Linked DNA regions of Macaca fascicularis. The protein of the gene in region 1 interacts with the protein of each later gene in a pairwise test. Links are inferred from orthologs where the notes say so. Each region holds a gene or a part of one and is shown on either strand. Other genes may lie near its edges.

What was found.
Region 2: the proteins of SORBS2 (region 1) and EFS interact in binary tests that used the Homo sapiens proteins (3 or more experiments, as listed by UniProt). The two-hybrid records come from large-scale screens. The link is inferred for Macaca fascicularis from reciprocal best matches to the Homo sapiens genes SORBS2 and EFS.

What each region holds. Positions count from the first base shown.
Region 1 is NC_088379.1:190,382,859-190,386,419, reverse strand, and holds part of SORBS2 (sorbin and SH3 domain-containing protein 2), read left to right. Parts: intron 1-902; coding exon 903-1,090; intron 1,091-3,431; coding exon 3,432-3,561. UniProt on the Homo sapiens protein: Adapter protein that plays a role in the assembling of signaling complexes, being a link between ABL kinases and actin cytoskeleton. Can form complex with ABL1 and CBL, thus promoting ubiquitination and degradation of ABL1.
Region 2 is NC_088381.1:91,134,336-91,138,522, reverse strand, and holds the start of EFS (embryonal Fyn-associated substrate), read left to right. Parts: upstream 1-1,333; 5' UTR 1,334-2,594; coding exon 2,595-2,612; intron 2,613-4,187. UniProt on the Homo sapiens protein: Docking protein which plays a central coordinating role for tyrosine-kinase-based signaling related to cell adhesion. May serve as an activator of SRC and a downstream effector. Interacts with the SH3 domain of FYN and with CRK, SRC, and YES.

The DNA.
Region 1 (3,561 bases):
CAACTGGGCATGGTGAAAAGGCAAAACTGTGGAGGCCGTGGAAAGATCAATGGGTGCCAGGATGAGCGGGAGGAAGGGAGGGATGAAAAGCTGGAGAACAGAAACTTTTTATGGCAGTAAAACTATTTTATATGTTTGACACATTAGTGATAGACACACATCATTATACATTTCTCAAAACCCATAAAATGTTTAAGATAAAACATGAACTCAAATGTAAGCTATGGACTTGGGGTGAAGATGCATCGAGGTAGATCCATCGATTGTAACAATGTACCCCACTAAAAGAATACGTAAATGATAAGGGAAACTGTGCAAGAGGAAAGGGACTACGAAGAAACTTTCTACACTTTCCAGTCATCATTTCTGCAAGCCTAAAACTGCTCTAAAAAAATTAAGTCGGCCGGGCACAGTGGTTCATGCCTGTAATCCCAACACTTCAGGGAACTGAGGATGGAGGATCACTTGAGATCAGGGGTTTGAGACTCTGTCTCAACCCAGCCTGGGCAACATAGTGAGACTCTGTCTCTATGTAAATAAAAATTTAAATAATTAGCCAGATGTGGTGGCGCACGCCTGTGGTCCCAGCTACTCAGGAGGTTGAGGCAGGAGTATCCCTTGAGCCCAGGAGTTTGGGGTTGCAATGAGCTGTGATTGCACCACTGCACTTCCAGCCTGGGTGACGGAGCCAGAAGTCATCTCAAAATAAATAAATAATAAAGTCTTTTCATTTTTAAAAGGATCCTTCTAGAGAAATCATGTTGAACATCGAGGGATGGGTTCCTAGCCATGCAGTTTTGGGGATAGAAGTTTAGGAGTCACTAGCATGTTCCACTGGTTTTTCTGGTGCACACCTTAACCTCCTCCAGTGCCAGTCAAACAGATCTGATTCCTTCTTTCAGTTCTGCAAGCATGGCCAGTGACTTCAGGAAGCGGAGGAAGAGCGAGCCTGCAGTGGGTCCACCACGGGGCTTGGGAGATCAAAGTGTGAGCAGGACTAGCCCAGGCCGAGCGGACCTCCCAGGATCAAGCGCCACCCTTACAAAGTCTTTCACTAGCTCTTCTCCTTCTTCCCCATCGAGAGCAAAAGGTGAGCAATAGTAAATGAAAACACAACAATTTACTAGTTTACATTTTAGCCTAGAGCACTGTGTGAAAGCTGGCCCAGTGATAGTGGCACGAGCCGGCTCCCACCTACAGTGTCTGGAATAAAATACACTTTTAGAACAATAGCTTTCTTCCCACCCAGACTGACTCAAGCTGGCGAGCCACTCAGGTTGCTTCAAGAACTCTGACTAGCATCTGCTAACGCTTTTTTCCCCCCAAATAGATCCCTTTCTAAACAAATTCAAAGTATCAAATATGTATCATCAGGCTACTAAAAGATGTCATTTGTAAACATTGAGGTATAGTCAAAATTTTCTAATGTTTCTGCAACTAGCAAATCAGTCAAATTTATAGGATAGAAATTACAAGCAGCAACAGAGGAAATTGTTACCTAAAATATACATTGGTTTGGAGGTTTTAAAAAGTTATTCAATTCTAGATTTAAAAACAAAATCCGACCTATTAATTTCTTTAGCCATTTGCTGTATATTTTGGGCCACCTTCATATGAACAGTGGAGCATCCACATCCTGCCAGGTCACATAGTGGTCCATTCACAGCAGTTCACAGTCAGGACTGATGGGTCCCGGACCATAATTACGTCATTCAGGAATCACCAAGCCTTTTTTTCTGGGCGGCCTGTCTCCTCACTGCAGGTGTAGGGAGCTCACTGTTGAAAGGAGTAAGTCACTCCCTCTGGTTTCTGGAAGACCATTTAGTGGTCTTCCTTGAGGACAGGAATATTTCTGAGATGGAGAGTAAGGATTGAACCAGCACCCACAGGGAGCTAGGGCTCTACCAAATATGGGACCACACAATCTCTTCTAATATCTCAGGATCGAAATGGAAGAGAAAGAGATTTTGAAATGTGTGAAGAAATTGAGCTCTAACATAAGTTTCTATAAAACTAGACCGATTCAGCTACACCTATCAACTATACTCACTAAAACCATTGCCACATGATAGTTAAAAGTGATAGCTGATTTGTGTGCAAAAGATATTCTGGTTGTGATGATTGGACTCTGAGTAGGTGGAGGCCTCGCCCTTTTCAGGCCTCGTAAAGCTGTGATATCAGCTGATGGTTGAGGGCATACAAGCTCCATCCATCCTCCTTTCCTCTGAGGAGCAGAGATGCCTTCTCAGATCCAACTCACGTATTCCAATGAATATCTTAAGGTAACAAGTAAGTCATGCAATGCCATTGACTCATTATTATTGTATACTACCCAAAAGTCAAAAGGATTCTGATAAATGTAGATATTTGTTTTATCACAGGGAGTGTTAAATCAACTTCCTTTCCCAGGCAGTACATATCTACCTAATGTGCTCACCTACTTTTAAAGAATTTAGAGAACATTGTAAGGTATGTGTATTGAATACAGACATTTTCCTCCGTTAGATTTTATTTCTAAGAAGAAAATGTCCTGTTAGATATAATTTGGCTTCTCATTTATTAGTTAACTCAGCAAAACAAAAGAACATTTCCATAGCTATTCAAAATTGAATCCAAGTGTACATCTCTATTATCAAATTGCAAATATATTTTTTAAAACTCTTCCCAGAAAAAAAGCATGATATATGCGCCTCTGATGAAAGCTTTGCATTATATTCAGTTTTCCTATGAGAACTATGTACCTAATAAGAGGTTAAAGGTAGAGCAATTTAAGAGGTAAATTCGTTAGTTTAAAGAGCTTTAGCTATTTTTTTCTTGGAGAAACGTTAGCAGCAATAGTTCACAGCATTTTGATTTTGCAATTTTGGAGAATACTTTGCCTTATAGCTTTTAAAATCCAAAACCCATAAAAAATTATTTTATATAGTCATGAGAGTATTAATTAGATGTAAATGTGTAAACCCCTCTCTACCTATGTATCATTACGAATCAAATGGGACTCAAATTCCGGCCCTATGAAATTGATTAAGTGTATAACACTTTTGGCACTAACTGTTAAACCTTTACTACCAGATCATGCTATCAGCTGAAGAGGCACTATTGTGTTTTGGCAAACAGTATTGTCAGAAAGGTGTATGAATTATGCAATAGAAGTAGGCGTATTTGCTTCCATCAGTTACTTCTTAGGCATAGTTTTGCCAACTCTCTCTGCAAAGCTACATTCATTGAGAAAGTATTAGCTCGCTTTAGAATTAGACCTTTTTCTCTAGAGCTGATGCTCCATGCGTTAACAATCAGCCTCTAGACTAAAACACACTAACTGCTTTCCCCTTGCTGTGCTGTCTGATGCTTACTGACATGCTCTCCTCTCTTTGTGAACCTTTTAACTTCTCCAAATGTCTCTCTTCTACCACGCTGCTCTGGATTAAAAGGTGGGGATGATAGCAAAATGTGTCCATCCCTTTGCAGTTACTCAGGGCTCAACGGCAACCCCTCCAGTGAGTTAGATTACTGTAGCACTTATAGACAGCACTTAGACGTCCCTCGGGACTCCCCAAGGGC
Region 2 (4,187 bases), on another chromosome or scaffold:
TCCCTGGAAATTTAAAAGTTCCTCTGCTATCCTAGTGGAGTTGGAAACTATTCAGGAGTCTTCCATCACAGCCAGCCAGCCTACAGCCAACACAGTTCATCCCCATCCCCATGTTTATCCCAGAATCTCTCCCTATTCCACCCCATAGGCTCCACCACACCCCTCACGCAGAGGTTTCTTCACAGGTGCCCAGGCAATAAGAGTGGGGAAGGAGCTGGGGCACGTGTCCTGACCACACTGTCCTAGGAAATGCCTAGATGTGTGGGTCTGTGGAATATTGAGGCGGGGTTATCTGTTCAGGTCCTCAAGTTCACCAAAGGCCTTATATTACATTTCTGATCTTATCTCCAAATAAGGTTATGCACATACACACAATAAGGTTACATATGTGTTTGAAGGGTTAATTTGTTCAATGTAAACATCCAAAATATACCACAGCTTTCAATCCTGTTTATCATCTTGCTTTTTAAATACCAGGAACCTCAAAAATGCAAGAAGGTAGGTGTCACTCAAGCTTGACAGGCCCTGATGTGTGTGTCCCAAAGGAAAGGTCCAGGGAAGCAGCACACACTAAGGAGTTATCCCAGGGCAGAGGAGCTTTGGGGGTCAGGAGCACCGTCCTTTCAGTGGAAACTCCTGGCGGGGCTAGATCCCAGCTTCTCTGAAAGAGTTCTAGCAACTTTTGTGCTAGCGGTCCCCAGTCCTCTCCTCATAGCAGCAAGAGCGAGCCAGGCTGAAGAGGCCGACAGGCCCAGACTGGCAGAGGAGTGTAAGAGGCCGCACAACCTGCCCGCCTGCAGCTCTGGGGCCAGACGCCCTGCTTCATGTTCTGTCACCAGGGTCAGAATCCATGTCCAGCGCCAGACTCCCGCCCTGTGCCCCGCAAGAACGACCCAGCGAACCCCGCTGCCCTGCAGGGGAGGCGCCGAGGATTGGAGAGGCTCTGCTAAGGGCCCCGCTGGGCTGGAGGCGCGCGCTCCCTCCATGGGGAAAGACAGATGTGGGGCTAATGAAAGGGAAGCCGGGAGGCGCGGGGCCAGCGGGGGAGACGGGGGCGTGGCGGGGAGAGGAAAGCTCCCGGAGAAAGCCGACCGGACTGCCGCGAGCGAGGCCTGCAGCGGAGTCCAGAGGAGGAAGGCGCCGGGGACTGGGGCAGGACCAGGGCGGGAACGGGTGGGGGAGGGGTACCACAGGCAGTTGGACCCGAGGGTCCTGAGCTGAAACTCAACACCCGCCTTTGGAAGGATCGTCCCCCTTTCTCCTCCGCCCCTTCCCTTCCCCTCCCCTTTCCCCTCCCTCCTTTCTCTTAATCCCCAGGACTGAGCCCCGCGCCGGAGAGGAGAGGGCCTGAGGGGAGGAGAAAGGAACAGCACTGAGAGGGGCCAGGAGCCCAGGAAGGGGAGAGAAGGGCAGCCGCGGCCCAGGGGTGAGCCTGGGGGCCACGCGCGACCCCCGGAGCCTTCGCAGCCCTCTCAGTGTCCCCACCCCCAGCCCAGGCGAGTCCGCAGGACCCGGGACCCTGCTCCTCCTTTGCCTTCTCTTTGCTCCTTCTTTTGCTTTGTGGCCTTTCTTTCCCTTCCCAGAGACACCTGGGAGCTGCCCCCAAGCTGTGGGGCGCGCCGCGGGGTCCTGCCAAGGGTGCCTGTGAGAGGGGGCGGCGGGGCCGGCGCCGGGTGCCAGGGGCCGAGGGTGGGAGCAGGAGCTTGTGGCCTTGCGCCCTGGAGCCGAGGACTGGAAGGGGGCTGGGCCCCTCTGCCGCCTGGGCGCGGGCAGCGCGTCGGAAAGGCTGTCCCGCCTGTTCCAGTGGTGCCTGTGTGCTGGTTGCTGCTGCTCGGGGTGAGGCGCTGTGGCGGCGACCTCAGACCCCCGGGCGCGCTGAGTGAGTGCGCGCGTGAAAACCGCCGCGCTGCCGGGGGTGCGAGTGTTTGGGCAGAAGCGGCCACTCCAGCGACCCAGCCCCACAGCCACGCTCTCGGGGGTCTTTGGCTCCGGGCAACTTGGGACAAACGTCTAAGTTCTCGCTCTCCCTCCCTCCCAGCGGGGTCGCCGCAGACCCAAGCCCTGGGAGCACCGCTCTGCAGCACAGCCGGCGGGTGGAGAGGGTTGGCCCCAAAACTCGCTCGTCCAGCCCAACCGCCCCAGCGGCTTCTCCCAGCCCTCGAGGCTCTCGTGAGCGGCCTGGAGAGGCGTCGAGCGCAGCCCAGCGCCCGCCTGCTCACCTGCCCCGGCCCCCGAAGGGAACTTTCGGCTCCTGCGAGCCCGGGGCGCCCCCGCGGTCTAGGGCGGGCAGCTCCCGGGGACTGGACGAGGTGGTGGTGCCCGGGAGACCGCGGGGACAGCACGCAGCGCGCGCCCTTGGATGCGGTCCCGCAGCGACGCCCCGGCCCGCCCCGCTCCTCCTCCTGCCTGGCTAGCCTGCCTCTCATTTGGGAAGTTTTGTGGGTTTTCTTTCTCCTCCTCCGACCTTGGCGGAGGCCACGACTCAGGCGCCACAGCTGGGGGCTAGAGGCCCCGAATCATGGTGCGGGGCAGCCACCGCTGAAGTCAGCGAAACCGAGCCTGGCCTGAGGCAGGCTGCGCGGGAGGCCAAAGCCATGGCCATTGCCACGTCGGTGAGTCCACCAGGGAGAGGAGGCTGCCGGGGAGAGACCTCCACGGCCTGCCCTGCGCTCCTGTCACTTTATTTCTGCCCTCTCTTTGTCTCTCTCCTTGGTCCCTTTCTTCTCCAGAAGGCTGTGTCCCCCTCCTCTCACTTTTGTTTCCCTTCTCCCTCTCACTCCTCATCCCCTGCTCCTCCTGGCTCCGGGCTCTCCCCTCTTCCCCGCCCCCTCCTGTTCTCCTTTTTCTTACTAGAGGCTGCGCCTGAATGGAGGGGAGGGGGCAAGCGTAGCCTGAGTCCTATCTGCTTCTTTTGGGCGGGAACAGATGGCTACTGGTGGTTGGCAGGGGCTTGTGATTGGGAGGCAAGTAAAAGGTTTGGAGGGGGCTGAAAAGACCTAGTGGCTCACGGAAAACGAAAAACGAGAGGCTGAAGGACCCAAGGAGGCCCATCTCAAGGGAGATAGACCAAAGGAGGGAGATCAGGAAGGAGAAAGAGAAGACAGAGGGAGGAGGGGAGGTGATGTCAGCCAGCCTCAGGCCACTTTCCAGGGATCAGGACAAAGGGAGGAGACAGCTGGCATGATGGGACAGTGGGAGGAGGCCTCCCAGAGAGCACAGAGGCCCTCTGCCACCCACATTAGGCTGGCCATTCCCTCACCAGTCAGCTGGACCGCTGGGGGATAGAGCAGGAGTGGCCACACCCATCATCAATCAGCCCATCAACAACTCTGTCCTGCAGTGGCAGGGCCCAGAGGCTTGGCCCCACTGGACAGAACTCAAACTTAACACCAAGGAGGAGCGCTCTACAGCCCCACCTCGGTTTTCTGTTCTACAGTCTATGCAGTCTGAATCCAGGCAGCTCTGTTCCCCTTCCACCCTCTTCTAGGTCCTGCCTAAGCTTCCCAGGGAAGCGAGGCCGTCACTTGCTTTCTGGTCCCTTCTCAGTGGGGACTCTTGGAGAGATAATTGTGAGACTGGAAAGAGAAGCACCGAGCCACCCAATGTCCTCCCATACCCTTTGAGGACAGGTTCAAGTTTGGTTCTTTCTCAGACCAAACTCCTTTTTTTTTTTTTTTTTTCCTGAGACAAGGTCTCACGCTGTCACCAGGCTGGAGTGCAGTGGCACAATCATGGCTCACTGCAGCCTCCACCTCCTGGGCTCAGGTGATCCACCTACCTCAGCCTTCTGAGTTGCTGGGACTACAAGCACGCACCACCACATCGGCTAAATTTTTGTATTTTTTGTAGAGGCGGGGTTTTGCCATGTTGCCCAGGCTGGTCTCAAACTCCTGGGCTCAAGCAGTCCATCTGCCTCAGCCTCCCAAAGTGCTGAGATTACAGGCATGAGCCACCGCACCTGGCCCCAAACTCCTTTTAATTCCTCAATCTGTAACAATGGCCAGGAAACCCTAGCTCAGAGTGGGGACGGAGGCCCTCTGGAGATAGAGTACCTCTGGGAGTACTCTGGCATAGAGATGCTGGTTCAGGAGCCAGCTAGTCAGCTTTGTAGTCCCAAGAAGGTAGATTTTTCTTTTTATGGTCAGGGGCATTTATGCTAATCAAACTCACAGGATTCTAATAACAGC